Rattus norvegicus: one gene and its partners. The protein of the gene in region 3 purifies or fractionates together with the protein of the main gene of each other region. This does not show direct contact. Links are inferred from orthologs where the notes say so. Each region holds a gene or a part of one and is shown on either strand. Other genes may lie near its edges.

What was found. Proteins that work in one complex are often made in the same cells at the same time.
Region 1: the proteins of Traf3ip2 (region 3) and Cd40 purify together in Homo sapiens (affinity purification with western blotting, with the first as the bait; 3 studies listed by BioGRID). This does not show direct contact. The link is inferred for Rattus norvegicus from reciprocal best matches to the Homo sapiens genes TRAF3IP2 and CD40.
Region 2: the proteins of Traf3ip2 (region 3) and Ikbkb purify together in Homo sapiens (affinity purification with western blotting; 3 studies listed by BioGRID, with this or other methods). This does not show direct contact. The link is inferred for Rattus norvegicus from reciprocal best matches to the Homo sapiens genes TRAF3IP2 and IKBKB.

Annotation. Positions count from the first base shown.
Region 1 is NC_086021.1:174,221,686-174,225,848, forward strand, and holds the end of Cd40 (tumor necrosis factor receptor superfamily member 5 precursor), read left to right. Parts: intron 1-1,334; coding exon 1,335-1,421; intron 1,422-1,530; coding exon 1,531-1,562; intron 1,563-2,062; coding exon of another isoform or gene 2,063-2,122; intron 2,123-2,363; coding exon 2,364-2,555; 3' UTR 2,556-2,902; downstream 2,903-4,163.
Region 2 is NC_086034.1:76,052,292-76,057,291, reverse strand, and holds part of Ikbkb (inhibitor of nuclear factor kappa-B kinase subunit beta), read right to left. Parts: intron 4,111-5,000; coding exon 3,986-4,110; intron 428-3,985; coding exon 320-427; intron 1-319.
Region 3 is NC_086038.1:44,606,060-44,610,411, reverse strand, and holds the end of Traf3ip2 (E3 ubiquitin ligase TRAF3IP2), read right to left. Parts: intron 1,594-4,352; coding exon 1,447-1,593; 3' UTR 1,172-1,446; downstream 1-1,171. UniProt on the Homo sapiens protein: E3 ubiquitin ligase that catalyzes 'Lys-63'-linked polyubiquitination of target protein, enhancing protein-protein interaction and cell signaling. Transfers ubiquitin from E2 ubiquitin-conjugating enzyme UBE2V1-UBE2N to substrate protein.

The DNA.
Region 1 (4,163 bases), on a different chromosome or scaffold from region 3:
AAAAACATATTTTAAAAAAACCCGTGGTTCACAACATAGCAAACTTTTAAATTAAGTAGGAGTTGACCTGTCCAGACGCATGACCTTGCCTACCTCCTTCATCCTAACCTTGGCCCTGCTTCCGATACGAGTTTATTTAAAAGCCAGGTAGCCACCCATGGGCCTGTGCTTGTGTCACTGGTGTCTGCCTCCTGACCTATGAGCTAGGTGGAGTAGTATAGGCATGAGAACCCCAAGTTCAAGACCAGCCTAAACCACTTAGAGAGACCCTGTCTCAAAGAGGACTTACCTTTATGACTCTGTGTGTGTGTGTGTGTGTGTGTGTTTGCACCCTTTGCCTCTGAGACCAGCTGCCATTTATTTGGTTTTTTCATTTGTTACTTAGAATAGCAGTGAAGACATAAGAGATACTTTATTTCTCTCCTCCATCCTTTTTTTTTTTTTCCGGAGCTGGGGACCGAACCCAGGGCCTTGCGCTTCCTAGGTAAGCGCTCTACCACTGAGCTAAATCCCCAGCCCCTCCTCCATCCTTTGCAGCAGATGTAACAATTCAGGCGCAGAGCTGCACAACCCAGTGTGGGGGAAGGGTGAAACAGGCAGGCAGGAGGTGTCCCGTCACCACACAGCTGATGAAAGCCAGATGGGGAGTTAGCTAACTGGGGGCTTATCATCCCAACTGCACTCTTCCAGGGCTAGAGAGACAGCTCAGAGGGTAGGAGTGTTTACTGTGCAAGCATGAGTGAGGCATGACCACACCACATGTCACTGTGACCTTAATACTATGTCCTGGCACTAGAAGGAGAATTGTAGTTTGTTGCATCACAGACTAGCTCCAGGCTCAGTGAGAGACTCTGTCTGGGTGAAATATGGTGGAGCAGGAAACCCTCATCTTCCTCTGACCTCTGCATATATGCACAGGTGCACACACCTGAACACGACTAGGCTCACATACACCATAACCCCACCCCCAAAGATGGACTCTCTCAATGGATAAACATTGGCGAGTACCATAAAGTATTTTAAAAGTTCCCATAGTGGCCACATTATCCACAATGCTACTGCTCAAAAGCTCTGATATCAGGAGGCCTGAATTTTGGGAGGATAGAGCTGCTTTGGGCAGCACATGCCAGTGGGAGCACCCACCAGTGGGAGCACCCACCAGTGGGAGCACCTACCTGTGGGAGCACCCACCAGTGGGAGTATCTGCCAGTGGGAGCACCTACCTGTGGGAGTATCTGCCAGTGGGAGCACCTACCTGTGGGAGTATCTGCTAGTGGGAGCACCTACCTGTGGGAGCACCCACCAGTGGGAGCACTCGACGTCTGTCTCTCCAGGTTTCCAGCCCCGGATGCGAGCCCTGCTGGTCATTCCCGTCGTGATGGTCATCCTCATCACCATCTTTGTGGTTTTTCTCTATATCAGTGAGTACTCAGGAGGGGGAAGTGAGGGAGGATTCAGCTCTGCAGAACAGAGGCAGTGATTAATCTTGACTCGACCTCCCCATGTCCCACCCCTTCTTCTTCTCACTAGAAAAGGTGGTCAAGAAACCAAAGGACAATGAGGTAAGCCATCCCTGAGGAAGAGAAGCTGAAAGAGTGATTGGTGGGCAGGTAGGGAGGCAAATGGTGCAGGGAGACAGACTATTACTCCGTGAGCGAAGAGCTTGTATTGGATCCTCAGTGCGGATCCAATATCCATGGAAAAGGCCTCTCATGCCAACGCTGTGGCGGGGAAGTGGACACACAGATTTCTGGAGCTTGCTAGTCAGCCACTGGCTACTCCAGTTTCCAAGAGAAACCCTGACTCAGAAAATAAGGGTTGAAAGTGCAAGAAGACACAGGATATTGACCTCTGGCCTCCAATAGTGCGTACATGGGAGTGTGGACCCTCTACCCCTTGCAATACGCCCAGTACCACATTCCGCATGCGCATGCGCACACATGCACAAACAGGTTCAGGGTCTGTCCCTGGAGCACGTAGGGTGACAGTGGGCTACTCTCACCCCCACCCAACCCTGCTTCCAGTCCTCATCCCTTCCTCCTACCCAATCGTTTCCCCCTAGGGCGGAGCTGGGCGCCGGCAGAGTAACCCAGGCTGTGCTTTCCCCAGCATTGAATGCGGGGTAAGTCCCGCCTTCAGGGACCAGTAGGTGGAACCAGAGGGGCAGCCTCTCCTCCGCTGCCCGGCAGTGGCTCTGGAAATTTCCTGCCAAATTTCATGTGTCCAGCAGGGGGCAGGAGGCATCCAGGAAATCAGCTTTGATACCCCCATCCTCCCACCCCAGTGGAAGGGATTCTACTCTTCAGAGGCAGGATGGCTCTGTGGCTAGAGGTGACCTTGGATCTCATACTTTGGCTCTCCAGGTCTTACCCCCTGAGGCTCGAGGACAAGATCCTGTGGAGATAGAAGATTATCCCGGTCACAACACTGCTGCTCCAGTGCAGGAGACGTTGCATGGGTGTCAGCCTGTTGCACAGGAGGATGGTAAAGAGAGTCGCATCTCAGTGCAGGAGCGGCAGGTGACAGGCAGCATGGCCTTGAAGCCCCTGGTCTGAGCCCTGGAACTGTTTTGGAGGTGATGGTTCCGGAGCAGGGGCCTGGCTCTGACAGCCGCTGACTTTTGAAGTTTGAGAGGAGCCAAGGCAGAGCCCGGTGCAGCTAACTTTCGTGCCTGCCCCTGTCATCTCTCGACTTGCTTTTTAAAGATGGAGGAAAAGCTTTGGCGTCAGGGGTCCGCAGTAATATCTACAGAGTGCAGCAATGCAGGCCCAGAGATGTCTTGCTGCGGTTTTCACTGTAAGGAGTCGTGGACACGGGAGTCCATGACTTGTGGCTTGTGCTGCTAGAAGGCACCTGGTTGCCCAGCAGCCGGGGACTGGCTAAATAAATCTGTAATTATTTATACAACGGGGGTCTCAGAAACACTAGCAGGTGGGGCAGAAAAGAGGAAGTGGAATGATGGGTAGAGAAACAGCTTTTTAAATCACATTCCGGGCTGGAGAGCTGGCTCAGCAGTTAAGAGCACTGACTGCTCTTCCAGAGGTCCTGAGTTCAATTCCCACCAGCCACATGGTGGCTCACGACCATCTGTAATGGGATCGGATGCCCTTCTCTGGTGTGTCAAGTGACAGTGTACTCACATACATAAAATAAATAAATCTTAAAAAAACAACAATAACACACACACACACACACACACACACACACACACACTCTAAGGCAGGTGAGATGGCTTTTGTGGATAAGAGACCTTGCCGCCAAAGCTTACTGTCTTGAGGGCTGTCATTTGACCTCTATGTGTGCTCTGTGGTACATGTATGTGCACATATCTTAAGACGGATGTGATAGTGTACTGTAGAAATTATTTAATCCTGACCGGGGGTTTCTACCACTTAGTTTGTGGATGAAAGACACACACACAACCTTTATATTTCTAATAAGCCTTAAATAGCACAAGAGCTGGGCAGATACCTACCCTCTGTGCTCTAAGAATTTACTTCCCTAGCAATAACCCTGAGTTACTACTTATCATGTTCTCGTAAACTCACCTAATCCACGGTGGCTTCTCTCTCCTCCATTCACCTTCTTCTCCCTCTTGGTTCTCTTCCAACCCCAAGCCTGGGAATCCTAAACCCCGCCTATGTCTCTTCTTCCCAGATATTGGCTGTTGGCATCTTTATTTACTAATCAGAAATAATTTGAGGGTCCGGTCAGTTTGGGGGTTCTACAGTATGGACTCCAGGTCTTAGGGATCTACACTTAGCATTACAATACACAGCAAGATCAAACCTCAACAGATGTACAACGGTAACCCTAGTATTCAGAAGGAGGAGGGGAAAGAAGAGGAGGAAGAGGAGGAGGAAGAGGAAGAGGGAGAGGAGGAGGAGGAGGAAGAGGAGGAGGAAGAAGGAGCAGGAGGCTAGACTTGGATATATAGTGAATTCAAGGTCAGCCTGGGTTCCATGATACTGTCTTAAAAACAAACATTAGGGGCTGGGGATTTAGCTCAGTGGTAGAGCGCTTACCTAGGAAGCGCAAGGCCCTGGGTTCGGTCCCCAGCTCCGAAAAAAAAAGAACCAAAAAAAAAACAAAAAAAAAAAACAAAAAAAACCAAACATTAAATATCAACAACTTCTCCCAGCAACACAAAGTCACACACCCTT
Region 2 (5,000 bases), on a different chromosome or scaffold from region 3:
TGGGAGTGCACCCCATGTCTAATGTGGAGATGGACTGGTCAAGTTCTCATCACAGAATGGTATTCTGATATCTGTTCAAGTTATCCAAGGGCCTGGAGAGGGCTTAGTGGCTAAGAGTGCTGTGTTTGGTTCCCAGTAAGGTTCACAAGGCAGATCACAATCATCCCTAACTCCAGTTCCAAGGGATCTGACTACTCTTCTGGCTTCCACAGGCACTGGTCACCCAAACATAAAATCAAAAGTATCAGCTGTTACCTCAACCCTGGATTTCTAAGAAGAGGAGAAAAGTATCTTCAGGACCGAAGCCCCACGGCCTTACCTGTTGAGATTATTGGGGAAGGGTAAGGAACTTGAGAACTTCACTGTTCCGTTCAAGTCCTCGCTAACAACAATGTCCACTTCGCTCTTCTGCCGGACTTTAGAGTGCCTGCGGGTGTCATTTTAAGATGTCCTTTATGTCACTCAGTGGCAAGTACCCAGCTTACACTTGTAACGTCACTTCACAACTGTATGCTTTTTAGAACAATGGTCCGTGTGCTGCTGGGATGCCTCTCCCAGGGTTTGTGAGTGGTCTGCACTGTGGTTAGGGGTTTAGCTCAGTGGCAGTGAGTGTAGCATGAGTGGCCCTGGTTCAGTCCACAGCATGTAAACAGAACGTGCTCGGGGATGTCCAAATGAGACCTTGCAGGACAACCTTGAGCAAGGTCACCCATGGCCTCTCTCCCTAAGTTCTCCAGGAAGCACCGTGGACTTCTATGTGGACGGCTTAAAAGAGACAACTCAAATCTGAGTAAGGCTTCATGCGCGACCAAGTGCTCTTGACTATTTTTCTAATTTCCTCTGCCCTTCAGTTATCAGGTACAACCTTTCATTTAAATACAATTATTTTCAATTACACTTATGTGTATGTAGCAGGACATAGGCTTCCTGATGGCTGCCTGTGTAGGTGCCTGGAACCAAACTGAGGTCCCCGGGAAGAGCAGCAAGCGCTCCTAACTGCTGAGCCATCTCCCAACCCAGACCTCATGTTTGGATAGAGGATAAAATTGGGGTTCTGAGCCACGGTCACTGTGTATGCACCACATTTATTTGAAATGTAAAATAAGCACACATGTACTTCACCTCATTTTAAAATGTCATTTATTTATTTATTTGTGTGTGTGTGTGTGTGTGTGTGTGTGTGTGTGTGTGTGTGTATGTGTTCATGCACGTGGATGCACACACTTGCCACATGGGCATGCATCTCAGAGGATAGCTTGAGGGAACTGGTTTTCTCCATCTACCACTAGGGTTCCAGAGATAGAACTCTGGTTGTCAAACGTGGGGACACCCACTTAGCTACCTAGCAGGCCCATGCTTCCTTTAAAAGTGTGTGGCTAGGGTTTCTCTAGAATAAATGAGCTACATTTTCTAAGGAGGGGTGTACTCCTAAGGTATTTAAAGTAGTTTTGGAAGGGGAAAAAATTAAATCCCAGTGGTTTCCAGCCTTCTTGGGAAGAAGGACAATTTAAATTTGAATAACACTTCATGAGTAACCGAGTACTCTGCCAGAGTGGCCGGGTGTGGTGAAATTATTTCTAGTCAGAGTATGTGTTGTCCAATGTTAGACAAACTATGGAGGGACAGAACAAAGGGCTCAAAATTTGGCATAATTTCTAGTGTCTAAAAGTCCAAATACATTCTTCCCCTAAAAAGGATTTGTTCTCATTAAAAACAAAATGCTTTAGCCTTAAACAGTGACAGTTGGCTAACAGTGAGTGTCCTATCCAGGGCAGCCAGGGAGCATATGGAAGGTGCTGTCTGCATGGCGAAGGCTGCTGGCATCCAGCTCGGGGAGGAGCTGATGGAGGAGGTCGAGACAGGGTCTCTGTGCCTTCTAACTAACACAAGATGGTTCTGTGGAAAACGTCTGCTAGTGGGGAACTATCAACGGGTGCATCAAGCAGCACAGGCACTGCTTGACTGCAGGTCGTGTCATCTGAGGGACGAAAATGTCACCAGACATCAAAAGCCCAGGAGGAGGTCTTCTCCCAACCAGTCCACAGACGGATTCCTGTGGGGATCCATTGAACTTGGCTTCTGTGCAGCCAAGTAAGGGTGGTTTTAGGGGAAAGATCTCACAGACAACAGACAAGCTGTGGAGATGCCAGGCCACTAAGGGTGTTCTCAGTTCTATGCAGACTTAACTTATTTTGTTATAAGCAGAGAAAAGCTCAACGTTTGTGATGCCTTCTTCAGTTCTAGAGACGGAGCCCCCCCCAATTTGGAAAAGTTGATGTTTGAACTGAAGACAAAACAACCAATCCCTTGGTTAACTAAAGTCAGTATATGACGAACACTTTAAAGCTATTCTATTTTCTGGTTACATTATGATGTGTGACTATGAACTAAATACCATATTTCAGAAGCCAAAGGCTTGAAAGACCAAAGCCTGGTTGGTAGGCAGTTATGGTCGGACAGTGGGCTTTCCAGAGGACACTCTCTGACTCTGCACTGTGCCCATGTGGGTTTGACTGTAGAAGTGACCTCTGCTGCTACTACCCAACCCTTCTCCAGAACTGACTTCAGAGGCCAGGTTTTCATGGAAACGTTTTCATGGGGATGTGGCTCAGCTGGTCCAGTGCTTGCCTTAGTGTGCAAGAAAGTCCTGGGTTCCATCCCCAGCACTGACTAAAACCTGGTGTGATAGAGCATGCTTAATTCTAGCTTCTAGGAGCTGAGGAGCAGGAGGGCCAGAAGTTACGGTCACCTTCCGCAACACCCTTTTCCTCAGAGTAAAAGATGAAGACATTACTGTTGAGAATGGCACAGGGAAAATGTCAGACTGGCACACCCCTGCAGACGCATGCTTTTGTACAGCCTTTTCTGGCAGGGGCACGAGACACATCAAAGCCTTAGAATGTGTGAGCTCTTTCAAAGTCTCTTCATTCTGTTTACACAAATGTATAAATAACCAGACAAATAGCTGTGTCTGAACGACAGCTTTCCAAGGGTGCTATTTGTGGTGTTATATTAAGAAGCACAATTATAAACCACTCAGTCTTCCGGCCTTGAACTACATCACAGTGACTGAGTAGACCTCCCAAAGCCCAGGAAGATGTGCAGCGTGTTCAGTGTGAGCGGAAACGCAGACTATATCAAAGGGTGTATAAGGAGCTAGTCTTTCCTAAGAAGATGGACAGAAAGGATGTTCAGTGATTGTTTGCAGATCATTTGGTTATAGCTGATTCTTCTTAAGTAAAAAGACTGTTTCTAATCTTAGTATATATGCTACCAAATTCTGGACTTTCATTATTTCTGTATCTTCCAAAATACTGCAGAATTAATGTGGGGCAAACTTCACAGCACTTGTAGACTCTGGGCAAAGATTGTGTGAGTGTGAGTGTGAGTGTGTGTGTGTGTGTGTGTGTGTGTGTGTGTGTGAGCGCGTGCACACACACGCTTTCAAGGCACACGCAGAACAGTGCTCAGTTACGAGCACAGAGAGAATGTCACTAAGCAGACACACCTGCTCAGGAAGTAAAAGCATCCACGAAGCACCCAGGCTAGTGATTACCCTGTGTCTTCGGGGAGAGACCAGGTGGTATGGAAACTTGCATGAGACAGTCTTTTCCACTCTATTTCCTTATTCTTTTGAAGCTTAGAACATGTGAACTTATTACTAGTTCAGAAACCACCTTAAGTAAAAACTGTCTACATGAAGACGTGTTGTTGACAAGTTTTACTACATGTGTAAGTGTGCCTTCATGATGTGCCATGTGTGCACCTCTGTTCTCTTTACCAGTAATTTACTAACATTTTTAGTGTTACCACTCTTGCTCAAGGTCGAAACGCTTGACCTGCAACCGCTGGGTCCTAAAGGAGAATGGACCACAGACCATTCAGGCCTAACGTGGGGACTGGAAAAGGACTGAATGACAAGGCATGGAGCCAGGGGCTCACTGCTCCCCGAGATAGCCCTCCCACCAGTACCAGGCCCACTCACCACTGCACAGGCTGCCAGTTAGGGAGAAAGGGCCGGAAGCCGGTGATGCATTCAAAGGCCAGGGTGCCGAAGCTCCAGTAGTCAACAGTCACGGTGTACTTCTGCTGCTCCAGAAGCTCTGGGGCCTGGAACACACGGGTGTGTGTGTGTGTGTGTGTGTGTGTGTGCATGTGTGCGTGTGTGCGTGCGTGTGTGTGTGTGTGCGTGTATGTGTGTGTGTGCGTGTGTGTGCACGTGTGTGTGTGTGTGTGGCTATGCTGTCCCCCCTGAAACACACGGTGTGTGCGTGTGTGCGTGTGTGCGTGTGTGTGTGTGTGTGTGTGTGTGTGGCTATGCTGTCCTCCCTGAAACACACGGGGGGTGCCTATGCTGTCCTGCCTGAAACACACAGGGGTGCCTATGCTGTCCCCCCTGAAACACATGGGGTGGGGCTATGCTGTCCTGCCTGAAACACACAGGGGGGTGCCTATGCTGTCCTCCCTGAAACACACAAGGGTGCCTATGCTGTCCTCCCTGAAACACACAGGGGTGCCTATGCTGTCCTCCCTAAAACACACAGGGGAGGTGCCTATGCTGTCCTCCCTGAAACACACAGGGGGTGCCTATGCTGTCCTCCCTGAAACACACGGGGGGTGCCTATGCTGTCCTCCCTAAAACACACAGGGGGTGGGTGCTGTCCTCCCTGAAACACACAGGGGGTGCCTATGCTGTCCTCCCCTGAAACACACGGGGGAGGGGCTACGCTGTCCTGCCCTGAAACACACAGGGGTGCCTATGCTGTCCTGCCCTGGACGGGAGAGCCAGCAGCTCATGGAATCAGCCTCCTGCCATCATCCACAGCGCACAGTATGCCCACTCAAGTGTGAGGAGATGAACTTGAATGGACTCAGCTGTGGGTGACTAAGGTTTTCCTTACTTCATATTCATAACAAGACTACGCTAATGAGAAGCGATGCCAGGAGAGCTGAGGAGTCAGGGTCCTGAGGGGTCACTTCAAGGTAGACGAGAGTCGACC
Region 3 (4,352 bases):
GGTGGTTTGAACAATAATGACTCCAAATTCATATATTTTTTGGACCGTTTGTTTCTCAGCTGGTGGACTGCTCAGGAAGGATTAGGAGGAGGTGTGATCTTATTGGAGGAGGTGTGTCACTGCAGGTGGGCTTTGAAGTTTCAAAAGCCAATGCCAGGCTGTCCCCCCTCCCCTCCCTGTCCCCCCTTCCTCTCCCTGTCCCCTCCTCCTCCCTCTGCCTCCATCTTTCGGATAAGATATAAGCTCGAAGCTACTACACCAGCACATGCCTGCCTACCTGCTGCCACGCTCCAGGTCATGATAACCGTGGACTCTGAAACTGTAAGCCAGCCCCCATTAAATGCTTCCTTTTAAACACAGCCTTGGTCATGGTGTCTGCTCACAGTAATGAAATAGTAACCAAGACACTGGTTTGCTGGTATACACCTGCAATCCCGGCACTGCAAGGCAGGAGGATCGCCATGGGTTCAAGGCCATCTTACTCTATGCATTGAATTCCGGGCCATCCAGAACTTCATAGTAAGACTCCATCTCCAAAAAAACAAAAACAGAACGGAACAAAACAGAAGTAAAAAGTAAAATTACATTTATGCCCTGGGAGATGCGATTCTAAAAAAATAAACACCCCATTACTTCTCTAAAGAGAATTTAGAGGTTAAGGCCCACATTCCAGACCTTCCTGGTTCACTAGAAATACCCTGCTCCATATGATTTTATAAGTCTTCCAAGTCCCAGAAAAGCAGGAAGACTTGCTTAGTCACAGGGGTACTCAGGAGTGGGACAAAGAAAACTAGACCATAACTCTGGCCTGGATGACACAGCCCCTGTTACTTCATGCATATACTCAGATATTTTTACATAAATGGCCAGACCTTTTCCTCTTCTTGAAGTCTTGTATCCTGGACTTCTACGTGCTAAGCAAATGTTCTACCACTGAGCTACACTCCCCACCCAATTACAGCTTTACAATTAGCATTGCTTCATTAAAAGCCTCAACGTGAAGAGAAAGCCTTTCACATTAAAAGGACACATCACTTTCTAGTTTTAATTCTTCAGTACAGAACTCTGTCACATTTACCTAATACTATATCTGAGCAGCTTTGTTGATGTCCGGGAGCTGCCCGTTCCAGTATAAATTAATAATCCCACCTCCACTGAGACAAACACATTCTTACAAAGAATAATCACTTTATTAATTGAGCACGATTCAGACTGGTCTAAGGACACAAAGCATCCGGCCAACTCATAAGAGTAGCTGAAGTGATGAGAGTTTTTGTGGCCATAGGTCCGGGCAGCCATCACCTGCAACATCCACTCCCAGAAGCACTGGAGGCCGGGCGAGGACACCTCAGACTCAGGAGGCCGGGAACTCTGTAGAACAGGTGTTCCAGGCCTGAGTGCCACCAACCAGCTTGGCTGGACGAATGCTGTGAGAACAGGCTGGCATCACAAAGGTACCACCTGAAGGGTGGGCAGAGGGCCTCGGGGAGGAGCTACGTACTCCTCCTCTCGGAGCAGCCGCAGAAGGATGTTTTTCTTATTCTTGGGCCAGCTGTACACGTGAGTGTTCTGCAGCCAGGTCGGCACATGCTCCTGTGGAAGAGAGGGCAGGAACAAAGGTCACGGGACGGAGAGGAGCCCGGATTCGAGGTCCGGGCCTCAGTTCCCAACAGCTCCGGTTCGCCCTCCATAGGTGTTCCCGCCACTGAGCTGTCTTGGGAGCTGCTGTTTTGCTTTCGGAGCGTGCGAGCGAAGCTCTTTTGGCTTCGGGTGCAGGCTGTGCATCTCATTATGGAAACCACATGTGTGCAGCATTTTCTGTCAGTCTCCTGGGCTACCTGCCCTTTGCATGTCAATGTGCTTTTCACCACCTCACATGAAAGGGGTAGGACTGAGGTCACACTGAATGATGTGAATTCCCCTGTGGCTTTGGGGGAAGGATGCCAGCGCTCTGGGCTTAATCTAATTCGTGATTCTTTCACTCCGACCTCAGCTCTGGCCTGAAGAGGAAGGAGCAGAAGGGAGCTCAGAGCTGTGAGGCTGGTGTTCCACAGGCTAATTTCCATCACCCCTAGGACAGCCCTCAGGACCGTCTGTCCATGTGGAGCACACATTCTGATGAGGAGAGACCACGACCAGCTCAGCATCGACACAGAAATGAAATGTGAAATGCGCCGTGCCTAGGAAGGTGCTTCAGAAAAGCCACACAGTGATGGAAGATGGACATGTGTTCAAAAGCAAGAACATCACAGTGGCCAGAACAGAGCAGGCAGATGAAGAGGGCCAGAATTCTAGGGGCTGCATCACACGAGGCCTGGAGAGCACTGTAAGGCCTTTGGTTTGCATTTTGAGATGAGCTGCCTTGAGGATGGTAGCCTGAGTTCAGAGCCAGCACTCATGTTGAGTGCAGAAGATAAGCAATTCAAAGGTCACAACTGTCTTGAGGAGTCAAGATCTCACACAGAGGCAAAATCAGCATAAACTGTTTTCTAGGTCATCGTATAGCAAATAGCCAGCATGTCCCAAGCTCTGGCCATAAGGAGACTGACTGTCAAGTGGAATTTTAAAACAATAGCAAATATATACATATATGTATATATATATACATATATACATATATATTGCATTATGTATGCATTCCATGCATACACACACACACACACAAACACACAAACACACAGACATATGCATGAGCCAATGACTCTAACCAATTAGTCCCAGTGCCCCTAACATGTACCACTGAATCACGTACTGTAATTAACCAAAGCTCTCAGGAAAGTCACAATGCTTTACATAGGCCTGAGGGGAAAGAAAACCCCACAGCTGGAGAGGTTGCAAGGGTTCAAGGATTAGCAAGAGTTCACCAGGCTAGCAGGTTGGGAAAGGGCATTTTAAGGAGAGGGAGTAAGGGGCAAAGACCCTAGACAGAGAACATGAGTGAGGTTTGCTGACATGGCCCCGTTATGACCAAAGCTTAGGGCCCCAGGTGATACGACGGGAGAAGGAGAAAGTGGACACAGTGCTGTTCCAAAGAGCCGCATGTGTTGAGCTAAGGAAGTCAGCGGGAAGTGTCACAGAATTTTAAAACTAGAGAGATAGAGTTGGAGTTCTTTGATGTCGAAGCAGAAGGTGGCTAGAATAGAGTCCAGAGGAGGGGGAGACCGGCTGGGGGTGGGATTTGCCAGTCAATAACTGCATTTAGCCCCTGGATGAGCTAGGGCCAGCAAGGATGAGGGGTCCCTTCATGTGCCCTGTGCATTGTCCAACCTTATGTGTCCTGTCCACACAGACTGTGTCTTAGTTAGGGGTTCCGTTACTGTGAAGACACCATGACCAAAGCAACTCATAAAGACAAACATCTAATGGGGGCTGGCTCGCGGTTTCACAGGCTCAGTCCAGATCACCACAGCAGGAAGTATGGCAGCCTGCAGGCAGACATGGTGCTGGAGAAGGCGCTGAGAGTTCCGCACCCTGATTTGAAAGCATCCAGGAGAGACTCTTGCAGGCAGCCAGGAGGAGGGTCTCAAAAGCCCATCCCCACAGTGACACACTTTCTCCCACAAGGCCACACCCACTCCAACGAGGCCACACCTAATATTGTCACTCCCATGAGCCAAGCATGCTCAAGCCACCACAACAGATCTCTTGTGCGGAGCAGAGGTTCCAGTGCAGTCCTAATATCTAGGAGTCCTCCAGAATGAGGCTGCACCCAAGCTGAGTGCTCTGGTCTGAGTCTCAGGCTGTTTCCTTAGCGTCTGTCTTCCCTCGGCCAGGCCTGGAATGTTCTCTGATGGCTTGGCTTGTATTCTCTAGAGCTGTCTAGAGCAGGGAATATGTCGAGAACCCTCATGCGAACCCCAGCAAGGTTCACCTAGAGAGCTGTGCGGATTCAGTGCCCGCACTCCACGGGTGCGAGGGTTGAACTGTGTGCAGCAAAGTATTTATGTGGAGCAGAAAGCAAAGTGTCCATGCTTTGGCTCTAATGTGGGATAAGAAGCTTTAGAGGATAAACACCCTCATGTTCTTGGGCATTTGCATATTTGGTCCCCAGTGGGTGATCCCAGTTGGTGTTTAGAGAGGCCTAGGAGGTATGGGCCTGCTGAAGGAAATACGTTACTTGAAGCAGGCTTTGGGGTTTCAGAAGCCACACCCTGTCTGCTTTCTGTTTGTCATCCGGATGTGAGCCCTCAGCTCAGTTTCCAGCTCTGGATGCCACAGTTGCCTGCTGCCACACTTCCCTGGCACAATGGAGATGCACCTTCTCCCTCTGCAATCACAAGCCCCAAATGAGCCCTCCCCCTGCCTCGCCGTCTTGCCCGTGGTGTTCTAGCACAGCGACAGAAAAGTAACTG